Linked DNA regions of Oryctolagus cuniculus. The protein of the gene in region 2 purifies or fractionates together with the protein of the main gene of each other region. This does not show direct contact. Links are inferred from orthologs where the notes say so. Each region holds a gene or a part of one and is shown on either strand. Other genes may lie near its edges.

Region 1 (4,437 bases), on a different chromosome or scaffold from region 2:
TAAACTATAATTATATACAAGGATGCTATCTTGAAACACAACACTCAGTGGAAAAAAGAATTAACATTGTTTTTATGAAGCTCTATCATCACAATGCTTAAAAAAGAGGCCAAAATTCACCTATCACATAAGTAGGTAGGGAGGCAAATAAGATTATAAAACAACTTGAACAAAGTGTATATTCACATATATGAAATCTTGAACAAATCTTATTTTGGTTTTTCTAATTTCCTTTGTTAATTAAGTATAAATTGCAGAAGACACAAGAGAATCAATGCCAAACTCACCTGCAGAAACACTGTGGGAGTTCTCCTTGGCCATATAAAGGAAACAAAAATGGAGTGTTGCCATATCGCCCAAGACAGTGAAGAAAGTTTTTCGTAGCTTTGAGGCCATCTAAGGTAGTGGTGGTTGTCTCTGATGTCATTGCAATCGAATGCAGGACAAAATATTGCAGGTTGGGGGTTAATTTTTGAGTTTTTAAATATTCAGAAAATGCAATCTCTTCATAGCCTATGAAAAGAAAGATGAAAATTTATCAATTAAAATTGGACCTAAATTTCTATTTAAAATCACTCCCAAAAATATGAGATTAAGTCTGTCTAAAAGACTTCACAAAAAACTCTGGTGGTAATATTATTATTAAATTTTGGAGAGTGATTGATCTTGGGGTGGAAAGACAATCTCACTATCCATATTAGATCACTGGCACAATTTTTATGCTTTAAATGATGAATTTTTGTTTTCTATTTTATGGATGTAAAAAGACAGAAAATCATTAAACAACTCAATGAGTTGCCATAGCTGGCAATAATCTCACTTTATTAACTTGAAAAACTGCAGAATAAAACCAAAAATTGCACCTGAAAATATTAAATATGACAAAATGGAAATTTACTAATGAAATGACACATGATTCATGAAATGCATACTTCTTACTAAAACTTATAGCACTCAACTATGACTAAAAAGTAATTAAACGAGTTTCTATATGGCTCCTAGAATTGGTCTTCTTGTTATAAAATCACACTTCAAAACATAAGAGACCCCTAAACTAAGAACACAAAACAATGTAATTGGAATGATAGCAGTAGGAAATACAATCTCATAAAAAATGCAAAACATTTATAAATAAAAATTATAAAAATTCACTGAGAGAACATATGGACTTGAAACTTCAAGAACAGCAATAACAGACTTATTATTTCTTCAGAGAAAAAAACAATACTGCTGTACTTCTCAGTTTAACTTTATAAATTAGCAATAGTGTATTCCAATTCTGAGTAACAGTTTCAGCTGAACACACTTAAAAGTGTTTAGCTCTGGGGCCAGTACTGTGGCATAGTGGGTTAATCCTGCAGCTGTGGAACCGGCATCCCATATGGGCACCAGTTCTAGTCCTGGCTGCTCCCCTTCTGATCCAGCTCTCTGCTATGGCTTAGGAAAGCAGTAGAAGACGGGCCAAGCACCTGGGCTCGGCACCAGTGTGGGAGACAAAGAAGCAGCTCCTGGCTTCAGATTGGCCCAGATGCAGCCATTTGGGAAGTGAACCAGTGGACGGAAGACCTTTGTCTCTCCCTCTCACTGTCTGTAACTCTACCACTCAAATAAATAAAATCTTTTTTGAAAAAAAAGTATATAGCTCTGATGCTGAAATGATGCATTGAATGTGCAACAAACTGAAGTAACAGGCCCTAGATCACACAGTGAAATGAGTCACATCCAAGACCAGAAACCATGTCTTCAAATCTAGTGGCTTCCCTGATGTACTGCATGCCTTTTTATATTTTGTCGATAAAAATGAATATTTCAAAATTCCAAGCATAAGTATACTTGAAAATTATTAAGTATACATCTTACTTCTGATGAGAAAAAAATACCGTGACAAAAGACAACATCATCTATGAAGAGCCAGTTGATAGCAGCATTTAACTAACAACACTAAAAATTTAAGGCTAGTACAGAATTTGTAAAATGAAGAAAATATCGGCAGGGTAGCTGCAGTAGCCATTAGCCACATGTTGCTACAGAGCACTTGAAATCTGGATAGTGAGATTGAGTAATTGTATTTTAATTACATTTTTTAATTTAGTTTTTTAAATACTACATGTTGCTAATGACCTACTAAATAGTCCAGGAATAGAAAGCATTTTAAAGCAGTAATAAGTAGCTCATTAAATCAGAGAAATACAAATATTCTCTATACCCTTTAAGATATCCATCGTTTTCTTTTTTAACCCCAGTCTTTGACTTGAAAAATTTTGTGGCATAAAGAGTTGCACAGGTTATACTTTAGAAGAAAATGAGTATTCCCCCCAAAAATGAAAACTAATTAAGATTTTAGGGATTTTACTTTTTCTTTTGTAATTGCATAAAAAATGGGAAAATAACTGAAGCAGAATTTCAATGTGAAGACTTTTTTGCTATAATCATTAGTTTTAAAGGTACTGTTAATTTAGCATGTTTCCCTACATTTTTCTTCAAGTATCTTCTATCATGAATTCCCTTTTAATGAACTGTAGGTAATTTAAAATAAATTCCTACAACATAAAAAAATCAAATAGCTGGAGAATGCAATTAAATAAAAACTAATACCTTTATATTCATCAGGATGTTCCTCATATTCCATGCAAAATGTAAGAAATTTCATTAACATTCGCTTTTCTACCATACTAAGTTGTTTGCTGTTAAAAACATCTGCTCTGGAACAAGGAACCTGAAAAAAAATATGACAATATTAAGAAACTGCTTCTTTATGATACAAGTATTACAAATAAAAATTTCTTCTCTTACATATACAGGATTATTTCCATTCTGGTCAGAATATTCCATGTTACCTCTGTCTAGTTCGAATGGCATCTCTGTTAACTTCAGAGCTAATTAACTTGTGAGTTCTCTTTCTTAATTCTGCCAAGTTGCTTCTCATGCCACTGAAAGGCCAATGGCATATCACCCTTACCAGGAAAGAAGTGACAGCTTAAATCTACCAGTGCTGCCTGAAACTAATACTTTCTCAATACCAACATTAAGCTGTGGAATAACTCATGAGAAAATTAACATGAGAAACTGTAACTGAGCAAAGCTTACACTTTGCACTTGTAAATCACTTGGCAGGATTAGAATTTACTGCTTTACCAAGGAGTAACAATCTTACTGCTTATCCTTCCAAAACAACCCATAATAACTTCAACTCATAACCAGATACAATACTTGGTAAGCACAGTACCTGTTCCACTCTTCCTTCTCGAAATGCAAGAATCCTGGTAATATTTTTAAACTCTGCATATCGACTAACATTAGATTTGATAAGAAGATCAATGAGCAATCCCCGAGAATACAGCAGCTGTATAAAGAAAATATTTTAGAGAATAAGGTAAAAGGTGCAACAGCGGAAAATTGATAAGTGCTAAATATACAAAATTCAGTTATATTTTAAATTATTTATAAAAAAGTATACCTTTAAATATTATAGTACATATTATGACAACTTCATAACTGATTATCTAAAACTCAAAATCCAAAAAACTGTAAAAATGATCCATACTGACATAAGGCACTTCTGTCTTTATCTGTCCCTCTTAATGTGAATATTCGTACATTTCTCTGCAGAAATATTAGTGGGTTTAGACACAGAGTGCCTCTTGGACCCTGCTAAGAACGTTACATAATACATACCATATCAGCAGTCTCAATATTAATTTATACTATATTTTTTAGAAGTCTGAATGATAAGACATACTAGGCCCCTGTAGGCCAGGTGGTTGTAAAAAATCAGACTGATGGACCTCCCCAACCCACCAAAAAAGAAAGAGATAAGTGATGTACTTCCACTAAAATACTCCAATAACAAGGTCCCTCTATAATCCAAGCAGTCTTGGTTTATATGAAGTATGTGTTTGTCAATAAGTAAGAATGACAGTTACTTCCAGCACGTATACAAAGGATTGATTTAACCTTTCAAAATCTCTCATAACTACTCTCAGAAACACAAAAACAATAATTTAAACAGTATTATCTGTCATACTGTGAATTGAGCCATATGGTTAAATGCTAAATGTTTGGCTAAATCTATGTCTATAAGTTGATAAATGTTAAAAATGTAAATGCGGGGCCGGCACAGTGGCATAGTGGGTTAAGCCTCTGCCTGCGGTGCTGGCATCCCATATGGGCACCGGTTTGAATCCCGGCTGCTCCTCTTTTCTGATCCAGTTCTCTGCTTATGGCCTGGGAAAGCAGCAGAAGATGGTCCATGTGCTTGAACTCTTGCACCCATGTGGGAGACCAGGAAGAAGCTACCTGGCACCTGGCTTCAGATCAGCCCAGCTCCGGCCATTGCGGCCATTTGGGGAGTAAACCAGTGGATGGAAACTTTCTCTCTCTCTCTCTGTAACTCTGCCTCTCAAATAATAAATATATCTTTAAAAAAATTTTAAAATT
Region 2 (5,232 bases):
TGCAGAGGCTGAAAGATGTAAAACTATCCTCACATACCATTCACAGAAATGCTAATGGCTATTCTCTAATGTGGTGCAACTATTAGTGACTTATTTACTAATACTACCTTTTTTTTGTAGTTTTTGGAATTACAATATATGCCATTATTTTCTATTAAACAACACATTTGGAGAAAACTAGCCTGAAGGCAAATTCTTTTCTTACCAGTATCTAAAAGTGCTCATTTTTTTTCTTTCTTTTTTTAAGATTTATTTGAAAGGCTCAGTTAGAGAGAGGGAGAGACAGAGACAGGTCTTCCATCTGCTGGTTCACTCCCCCAAATGGCCACAACTGAAGCCAGGAGCCAGAAAAGCTTCTTCCAGGTCTCCCACGTGGGTACAGGGGCCCAAGCACTTGAGCCATCCTCCCAGCTTTCCCAGCAGGGAGCTGGATGGGAAGTGCAGCAACCAGGAATTGAACAGGCACCCATATGGGATGCTGGCACTGAAGGTGGCAGCTTACCTGCTACATCACAACCACAACCAAGGCTCCCAAATGTGCTAATTTTCAATTTCAAAGGAATTAGCAAATATTTGAAGAGCACTTTTCAACCTATTCACATCTTTAATAAAAATATGATTATATGCTTACTAATATACTAAATATGATTTCCTCTCTAAAAATGTAGCTATACTTCACTGAGTTACCTCATATAAGAAATTCGCCTTCCCTATAAAATTTTAGTTTTTATGAGACATATTATTGACAATTCACTAATATATTGATATCTTAATTCTAGACAATTAAGTTCACTTCTTGGCTTTATCTAAAACTCCAGCTTTGAAGCGTCTTTAACAGTACATGCTGATATATTTACAGATGAAATGATGTTTAAGCTGCTTCCAAACATAAGGTACAGGGGCTGGCACTGTGACATAGAGGATAAAGCTGCCGCCTGCAGTGCTGGCATCTCATACAGGTGCTGGTTCGAGTCCAGGCTGCTCCACTTCTGATTCTGCTCTCTGCTATGAACTGGGAAACCAGCAGAAGATGGCCCAAGTCCTTGGGCCCCTGAACCCTCATGGGAGACCAGGAAGAAGCTCCCGGCTCCTGGCTTTGAGTCAGCGCAGCTTAGGCTGTTGCAGCCATCTGGGGAGTGGACGAGCGGATGGAAGACCTCTCTCGATCTCTCCTCTCCTCTCTCTGTGTAACTCTTTCAAATAAATAAATCTTAAAAACAAACGAACACACACCATAAGGTACAAATAAAACTACTTCCCCATACTGTCCCAAACACAGTAAACTTGGGAGTTTAATCCTGGTAGTACCAATTTCTGTCTGGGCCAATTTTTTAATTTTCAAACTACATAATTTGCATAGTTGCCAGTTAATCACGTGATACAATATATATAATCTCTAATACAGTACCTATCATACAGCAGGGTTTGAATGGACAACTAAAGTGGCCCTTTGGTTACATGTCAAACACCAATAGAATGTCGTATAGGCAGAAAACGCACCAATTCGCTTTCAGGAATAAACATAGTTGAAACACTTCCCAACAGCCTCTTATCTACAAAACTGCTGATCATTTATCAAGGATACCATGTTCTGAATTTCTACAGTACTTCTGAAAATTTAGGGAAAACACCAGACACCCATAAAAAAGTCAAGCAAAATTGTGATTTACGTTTGCCTTCTAAGTTTTGAAGCCACTGAATCCTTATGCTACAAGGATCTCTAACAGGAAATAAATCAAAAACAGCGTAATATTAACAAGGTAAAAACTGCGTGCATTTACTCGTATTCACACTTACTGAGAATTCTCCCAGTTTTGCCAAACAAGGACTTTGCATTGTATGCATTTTTAAACTTGGAAATAACTAGTGTTCTGTAGTGCTCTTTTGCTCTTTTTAGGTCCTCTTTGATCAAAAAATCACTGGGTACTCATTCTGTGCCTGGCATGGTTACCAAGTACTTTGCTTACAACAACCCTAAGTGTTCAAACTATCTGCATTCGACAGTGAAAAGAACAAAGTTTCTGAGGAGTCCAGAATATTCCCGGAGTAGTGTAACAGTTTGATTCCACTTAAGCCAGGCCAAAAAAAATCAAATACGTAAACTAGGATGCTAGGAGCTTAAAAAGTCTGAAAGTCTCGAGGGGCTGACCAGTTCCCAGGGAAGACAGCATCAGGGCAGGTCTCCTGGTTTACCCACCAAGGGAGCTGTACGGCGGCCCAGTTACCTTTAATTTCCTTAAAGCTGCGGCTCGCCACCTGCCAGTCTCCAGAGCGGTTGTCTGGCTGAGCCTCCCAGCCCTTCCATTACCCATCTTTCGAAGGTAGGCGGAGCTCCCCAGATCCACACCTGCCCTAGGCCCCGGTCCCTGCTTGCAACACCTGAGCAGCTGAGAGCCGACTCCGGATCGCCCGAACAAACAGTACCCGCCAGGGCTCTGGGCCGTCCCGCCACCCTCCTCCCTTAAACCTGCACGGCTCTCCCTGGGACCCCCGGGCTGTCTGGAGAGGCCGGGCGGAACCACGGCCTCCGGTACTCTTTCCGCGGCGCCATCTTGAGAAGGGAAGAGGGTGACACCCGTCGGCTCCCTCACCCAGTCCCCAAATCGCGGTCTCCACCAGAACCCCTGGCGGCATGAGTCACCAGGGCTGGCAGGCCGACAGGCCCGGGTGCGGTAGCTCTGTGGTCCCGGAGACGGGCGCAAGTCGGGGAGGACGTGCTGGGGGCCCCGCCGCCCGCACAGCCGCGGGCAGGATGGAGACCGCGGCTCAGCCCAGCTCCAGACCCGCTCTGCACAGGGGAAGGCTGGTCTGGTTACCTGCGGCTGCGGCACGCGGGGCCGCGGCACCGCAGCTTGCTGGCGGCAGGGAGCAAGCGTGGCCCGAAGGACGGCAGCGAAGCGGAGGCTGTGGCGGCGACGGCGGCGTCTCCTCGCGTCGCTCGCCTCACACCGGACCGTGCGGGGCTGGAGCCGTGGTGCCGCCCCTGCCGGGCTCCGTCTCCGCCTCTCCGCGCTCCGCCTTTCTCTTTCCTTTCTCCTCCTCCGCCGCCGGCGCTCAAGTTCCGACGAATTCTTCCTCCTCCTCCTCCTCCCTCCTCCGCCTCCTCCCCTCAGGCCGGCCGCCGGCTCCTTCAAGAACCAAAACACAAACACTCAAGTCCCAACGCGGGAGCCACTTCCGCAGCCGGGCGCCGGCCCCGCCGCCACGTCGCTGCGCGCAGCGAGAGACGCCGCTTCGTCACTTCCGGTCGGCGCCAGTCCGTCCCGCCCCATCCGCTTCCCCGCCCCTCTCGAGGCGCACCCAGCCCTACCGGGGAGGGGGCGGGGCGCGGCGGGCTGTCACGTGGCTCTGCGCTGGGGCGGGTTTTACTGCCTTGTTGTGTCTGCGCCACGCCGGTTGCGCGCGACCGCGCCCTCGCAGCTCTTTTGTCAGCAGGGCGGAGGCCTCTGGGCTCCTGTGACTGGGGCTGGGTGGGGTATCCCGTGCTGCCCTGCTTTGGGGGAAGACCTAAGGCGCTTGAGTTTGTTGCGCCCAGCCCTTTGTTGTAAGTGTGAGCTCACAGTCCCCTCCATCCCGCCCCGCACCACCCCAATCCTGGTGACTTGGCCTAAGGGGTTTTTTTGAGGGAGGTTGTAACAGGAGACACGCCTACTGTGTCCCTGAGGCCAGGTGTGTCTGTAAAGGAAGGTAAGTCGTTTGTACCGCCGGCAGGAAGCTAGGACCCTCTGCATCCTAAAGCCGTCTTTAGTGGCAAAGCATTAAAACAGTTGGCACGTAAGAAGCGCTTACCTGTTTTTGGTAGGGTACATGTTAAGCAAACCTGTTGTTCAGATTTCCCTTTGGGAGTTACAGTACTAAACGTTTTACAGTAGGTACAAGTCTTTGTGAAACCAGCTTGTGAATCGTCGTGTGGGCACATTAACACTAACTTCCCAAACTGGTCCTCACCTCTGTGAACCTGGCTAGCACGTGGCCAGGCAGCTAAGAATCTTCAGGCATGGCTTTGGGATTAATGAATGAGGCGTGCCTGCTTTACAGGTAACGCGCTCGAAGCACAGAGATTGTGTAACTTGTACAAGACTGGGAATTCTTTTTAAAGATGTATTTATTCAAAAGGCAGAGTAACAATATTTCTTCCATCCACTGACTCACTTCCCAAATGGCTGCAATGGCAGGGCCTGGCCTATGCTGCCAAGAGGCTTCAGCTCCTTCCTGGTCTCGCAAGAGAGTATCAGGGGCTAAGTACTTGGGCCATCATCCCCTGCATTAGTAAATAAGGATTGGAAGCAGAGCAGCCTGGGTTCAGACTAGCTGTTCAAAAGGAGACTCAGCATTGCAAGTGGCAGCTTAACCTGCTGCCTGTGCCTTGACCCTCTGTGCTGCGTACAATACAATGCTGGCCCCAGAATGTCAGTTCTTATACAAAGTTCCGGTGAAAGACCACAACCTGAGCTGGTTGTTGCCCTCTGCAGCAGATCCTCTTAAGCATGCTTTGGTAAAATCCCAGATCATAGTTAGTTTCTGGAAAGCGTCTAAAACCAACCCCTCTCCCCTTGATCGTTGCTTTTTCCCCAGAATAAGGGATGCTTTGCAGTTTATAATTTACAACTTACAGTCCTGCTGTGAAGGCATGAATATTGTCTTTGGAGTGTACCTGGGCTAAGGTATCCTGTGAGTGCTCGGTCAACATTGTGCAATGAAGATGATTTGAACCCTTGACTAACTAGCTCGTCTTTCAGCACCTCCCCAGTTACTAGAAGAGCATAATATGGCATCTGTGAATGGTATCTGTGGCACTGCATCCTGAAAGGCCTGTTCTGATGTTGCATAAGTCATGGTCATAGCTCTAGGACGATCCCAGAAAGAATCAGGAAATAGGATATGTCATGTTAGTCTTGTCATGTCAATAGCATGTCCCAAGCCAAACCTATTCCACTGCAAGCCTGTTTGCATTGTTTATTCAGTGCCATTAAGAACCTCTGTCACCCAGACTTGGAACTACAGAATCATTTTCAGCTCTTCTTTTCTTCCCCATAAAGCACTGGCCATTCTGTTTCTAAAAATCCTCAAATCCCCAAATTTGAGAACTAATTCAAATGCCTGGACCATAGAAGCATTCTTGTTAAAAAAATTTTTTATTTATTTATTTGAAAGTCAGAGTTACACAGAAGAGAGGCAGAGAAAGAGAGAGAGAGTCTTCCATCCGGTGGTTCACTCCCCAACTGGCAGCAA
Region 3 (4,003 bases), on a different chromosome or scaffold from region 2:
CCTGGGACTTTTGATTCCCATCCAAAGCGGGGCCCGAGTTCTCTCCCTCACCAGGCCTGAAGGTGGCAGTCCTGGTGCCAGCACTAACTCCCTGGAGGGCCCTGGGCAGATCAGTTGCATGTCAGCCTCCTCTGAAACGCCCTGATGAAGAATGTCAGCTTCCAGAGTCAGACCCCAACGCAGGGAGCCAAGGCCCTGCCAAGAACTACAGACGCAGGCACAGGTTTCAACACGGTTTTATTGGGAGGCTTTGTTTTCCGTGAAATACACTAGAGGTTGGGGAAGGGGACACATTCACTTCGCAAGGTAAGTAAGGGTTTCCCACCACTAAAGGAAAGGGGTGGGGCAGGGCACATGGGGTCGGGATCCATTTTCCCACCTCCTTCTGCTTTGCTCTCATTTCTTCTCTCTCTCAAGTACCAGAGAATGCAAACACAGACAAGAAACCAAAACAGAAGATCAAACTCCACCAGGGCCACACCTAAGCCTTCCCGGCTGCCCAGGCTAGGCCAGGACTGGGAGGGGCTGGGAGAGTTCACTGGACAGCCCCCAGGTTGCTCTAGGAGGATGCAGGCTCAGGTGGGGTGGGCTGCAGTTAATAAATTAGAATAAATTACGGGGAAAAGGAATGCAATTTTGTGCTGGGAGGGCCCCTTCTTTCCAACACACGAGAGTTGGTGGGGGGAGGCAGGGGGCATCTCCAAAGGCCACTACAGTAGGAGTAAGAGCGGTGGGGGCAGAAGCCAGCTTTTCCTCCATGTTCTTCCCAGACAGAGCAGAAGAATTAGGGGCGAGGGGAAGAGACACGCACGAAGAAAGGAACCGTCTTTTCCTAGGATAAGGAAGGGCCAAGGAAGAGATGCTATCCAACCCCCCATCTCCCAAACCATCGCTAAGGTTAAGGATTTGGTCAGTGAATCAATGAGGTGGGTAGTAGGAATGTGGTGGGGGAAGCAGAGATGCTGGAAACAGGGGTGCTGCCGCACATCTCCCTGGCCCTGCAGGACGCAGGAGGGGCGGCGGGGGCAGCAGGGGCAGCAGTCACTGGTCAGCTTCTCCAAAGACGTCGTTCTGTTTGCGCTTCATGTTCTCAAAGTCAAAGGCTGAGCCAGCCATGCGCTTGTAGATGTCCTTGATGTCATTGCAGGTTGTCTCAAAGTGTGTGGTGGCATCGTAGGAGCAGGAACAGAAAACCTGGCAACAGCCAGAGCCCAGGGCCTCAGGTGAGTTGGGCAGGGCGGCCGGGTGGGCGGCCGGGACTTGGGGCTGGGACAGGCACTTACCTGGCTCTCAGAACCATCATCAATGGGCTCGTACAAGTCACTGATAGCCACAAACCTGAGAGGCAGAGACAAGCCTCGCAACAGGCCCCGCCCTTCCTGGTCCTCCCCACCCCCTCGGGCTCCGTGCAACCCCTTACTTCTGGTCAATAGGCTCCAGCAGCTCCAGAGCTGGCTCAACCTCCTTTTCCGGCTCCGCAGTCTCCACTGTGGTGCTGGCAATGGCGATGTACTTGCCCTGCGCAGCCACGTTGTGTGCATAGGAGATCATGCACACGTAGATGTCTGGCCACGGGAAGTGCTCAGTTAGCACGGGCCAGAGTGAACACCATGCAAAGAGAAGGCGCCTAGGGGCTGCATGGGATCCTGGCCCACCTGATCCAATCACCCCGCCCCACACAATGGGCAGCATCCTGGCTGTCACCCTCCCAAGGAGAAAGAGTCCAAGCCACCCAATCCCTGGGGCCCCAAGTCGTGGGGACTGTCACGCGGCTCTCATTTCTGCTGTGGAGGGATCAGGTGGGGAGCCCCAAGGCTGACAGGGAGAGACGGAGCAAGCCCACAGAGAACACCCAGGAGGACGTCACGTGTGCCCCGGCCTACCTGACTTCCTGTTGACCTGGTTCTGGGGGATGATGATTTGGCAGGAATTGGCATCGTTGGTGTTCTTGATGGGGTGGCTGAGGATACAGATGATGCGGATAACCTGGCCAGCCTTCCGGACGCGGTCTGGGATGTAGCTGGGATCACAGATCAGCTGCTTGCAGCGGGCCACCTGTGAAGGCATCGGAGGGCTTTACCTCTGTCCGATCCCTGCCCTAAAACCTCGTGGGGCTGAGCCCACGCACGAGGCCAGGCAGCAGGCAGAGGCTCCACTCTCCTGGAACGCACAGCCACAGCCGGCAGGGCAGGCAGGTGAGTCCAGAAATGGGGTGAGCCCCGGCTGCAGGCACACTGTGATCAACAGTGCTTTCTGCACTACACACAGCTCGTGATCTTTGTGGCTTTTGTTTTTTTGGTTTTTCTTTTAAAGATTTGTTTATTTGAAAGACATAGTGACAGAAGGAAACACACACACACACACACACACACATCTTCCATCTCCTGGTTCCCTCCCCAAATGACAACAGCCAGGGCTGGGCCAGATCTAAACTAGGAGCCTGCAACTCCATGTAGCTCTCCCACGTGGGAGCAGGAGCCCAAGCACTTGGACCATCTTCCACTGCTTTCCCAAGCTATTAGTATGGAGGTGGCTCGGAAGTGGAGCAGCTGGGACTGGAACCAGTGCTCATAGGGGATGCCGACGTTGCAGCCAGTGGTTTAACCTGCTGCGCCACAGCACTGGCCCCAGTACACCACCTCTGAAGGGGACCTCCCGCCAACAGGAATGGCTTCTGGACCCCCAGTTCTCAGCTCTAAAGCCCTGGGGCTGAGGTGTGCAGCAGACCTGGCAGCAGAGGAGGTAGGCGAGCCCCGCCCTAACCACGATGGCCCCATGGCCTGGGGAAGGCTTACCTCTCCCTCAGACTTCACACCCACAACCTTGCCATTCTCCATGATGATGTCGTCCACAGGTTTGTTCAGCATGTATGTGCCCCCGTAGATGGCGCTCAATCTGTGGGAAGGGGAGAGAAGCTCAAGTGCCCCTCCCAGGAGAAATGGGGACCAAGTCTCCTGCACCGTGCCCTGCCACCACTGAGGTATAGAGGAGGCTTCCCCAGGCAGGCGGTGTCAGGACCCTCGGCAGTTTATCCCGGCCAGCACTGTGGGGTAGCGGGTAAAGCCACCACCTGTGACACCAGCACCCCATATGGGTGCCAGTTCAAGTCCTGGCTGCTCCACCTCTGATCCCTGCTAATGGCCTGAGAAAGCAGCAGGAGATGGCTCAAGTGCTTGGGCCCTTGAACCTTCATGGGAGACCTGGAACAAAGTCCTGGCTACTGGCTTTGGCCTGGCCCAGCCTTGGGCATGTGACCATCTGGGGAGTGAACCAGAGGATGGAAGATATCTATCTATCTCTCTCTCTCTCTCTCTCTCTCTCTATATATATATATATATATATATATATGCCTTTGGAATAAATAAATCTTTTAAAAACGTCACATCCCATCTTACTGTGGTCTTTGGAACTCCATGCCTAGAATATCCTGCAAAGGGCTAGTGTGAGGGTGGCCTGAAGGACCAGCGCCACACAGAAAGAGGAGCCTGAGGGACCAGAACAAAGTCCAGCTCCCCACTAAGCGCAGACTCAAGGTTCCTGAGTCTGCCTCCCAGGGCTTTGTGCTGGGGCTGTGTCCCCATCTCAGATGTCAGAGTAGGAAATGCTGTGGAAATCCCCAAGGGAGGCATTGCTATTGTTGCTCTCAGTCCCACTTAGTCATCCCAACTACACAAAGCCACGTTCTCACCTTGCAAAGCCCTGGGGCAGCTCGCCCAGGCCGTAGAGTGGGTATAAGTATGGGCTCTTGCCATACCGGGCCAGGGACTCACTGTACAACTTGATACGGTTAATGGTCTCCAGACAGGGCTGGTCCAGGTAGCTGGGGGGACAGAGGTCAGGGAAGATGCTCCAACAGGCTCCCTGGCTCACCCCACCACCCCGAATGGCCCAGGGGAGCCGGGGGGTCAAGTGCAGGGGAGGGGCGGACAGGCAACAGGGGAGCCTATGGCTGAGTACGAGAAATGTGCAGGGTAGGCAGAGGGAGCAGTGGGCAGGTGTTGGG

The links. The genes of interacting proteins can lie anywhere in the genome.
Region 1: the proteins of RAB5A (region 2) and CHM purify together in Homo sapiens (affinity purification with mass spectrometry; 3 studies listed by BioGRID and IntAct, counting the BioPlex papers as one, with this or other methods). This does not show direct contact. The link is inferred for Oryctolagus cuniculus from reciprocal best matches to the Homo sapiens genes RAB5A and CHM.
Region 3: the proteins of RAB5A (region 2) and GDI1 purify together in Homo sapiens (affinity purification with mass spectrometry; 3 studies listed by BioGRID and IntAct, counting the BioPlex papers as one, with this or other methods). This does not show direct contact. The link is inferred for Oryctolagus cuniculus from reciprocal best matches to the Homo sapiens genes RAB5A and GDI1.

Annotation. Positions count from the first base shown.
Region 1 is NC_091453.1:64,953,446-64,957,882, reverse strand, and holds part of CHM (rab proteins geranylgeranyltransferase component A 1), read right to left. Parts: intron 3,344-4,437; coding exon 3,227-3,343; intron 2,717-3,226; coding exon 2,596-2,716; intron 514-2,595; coding exon 288-513; intron 1-287. UniProt on the Homo sapiens protein: Substrate-binding subunit of the Rab geranylgeranyltransferase (GGTase) complex.
Region 2 is NC_091435.1:155,566,061-155,571,292, reverse strand, and holds the start of RAB5A (ras-related protein Rab-5A), read right to left. Parts: upstream 3,326-5,232; 5' UTR 3,311-3,325; intron 3,264-3,310; exon of another isoform or gene 3,129-3,263; 5' UTR 2,817-3,128; intron 1-2,816. UniProt on the Homo sapiens protein: The small GTPases Rab are key regulators of intracellular membrane trafficking, from the formation of transport vesicles to their fusion with membranes.
Region 3 is NC_091453.1:132,670,746-132,674,748, reverse strand, and holds the end of GDI1 (rab GDP dissociation inhibitor alpha), read right to left. Parts: intron 3,821-4,003; coding exon 3,689-3,820; intron 2,896-3,688; coding exon 2,796-2,895; intron 2,056-2,795; coding exon 1,884-2,055; intron 1,566-1,883; coding exon 1,421-1,565; intron 1,339-1,420; coding exon 1,284-1,338; intron 1,195-1,283; coding exon 1,042-1,194; downstream 1-1,041. UniProt on the Homo sapiens protein: Regulates the GDP/GTP exchange reaction of most Rab proteins by inhibiting the dissociation of GDP from them, and the subsequent binding of GTP to them. Promotes the dissociation of GDP-bound Rab proteins from the membrane and inhibits their activation.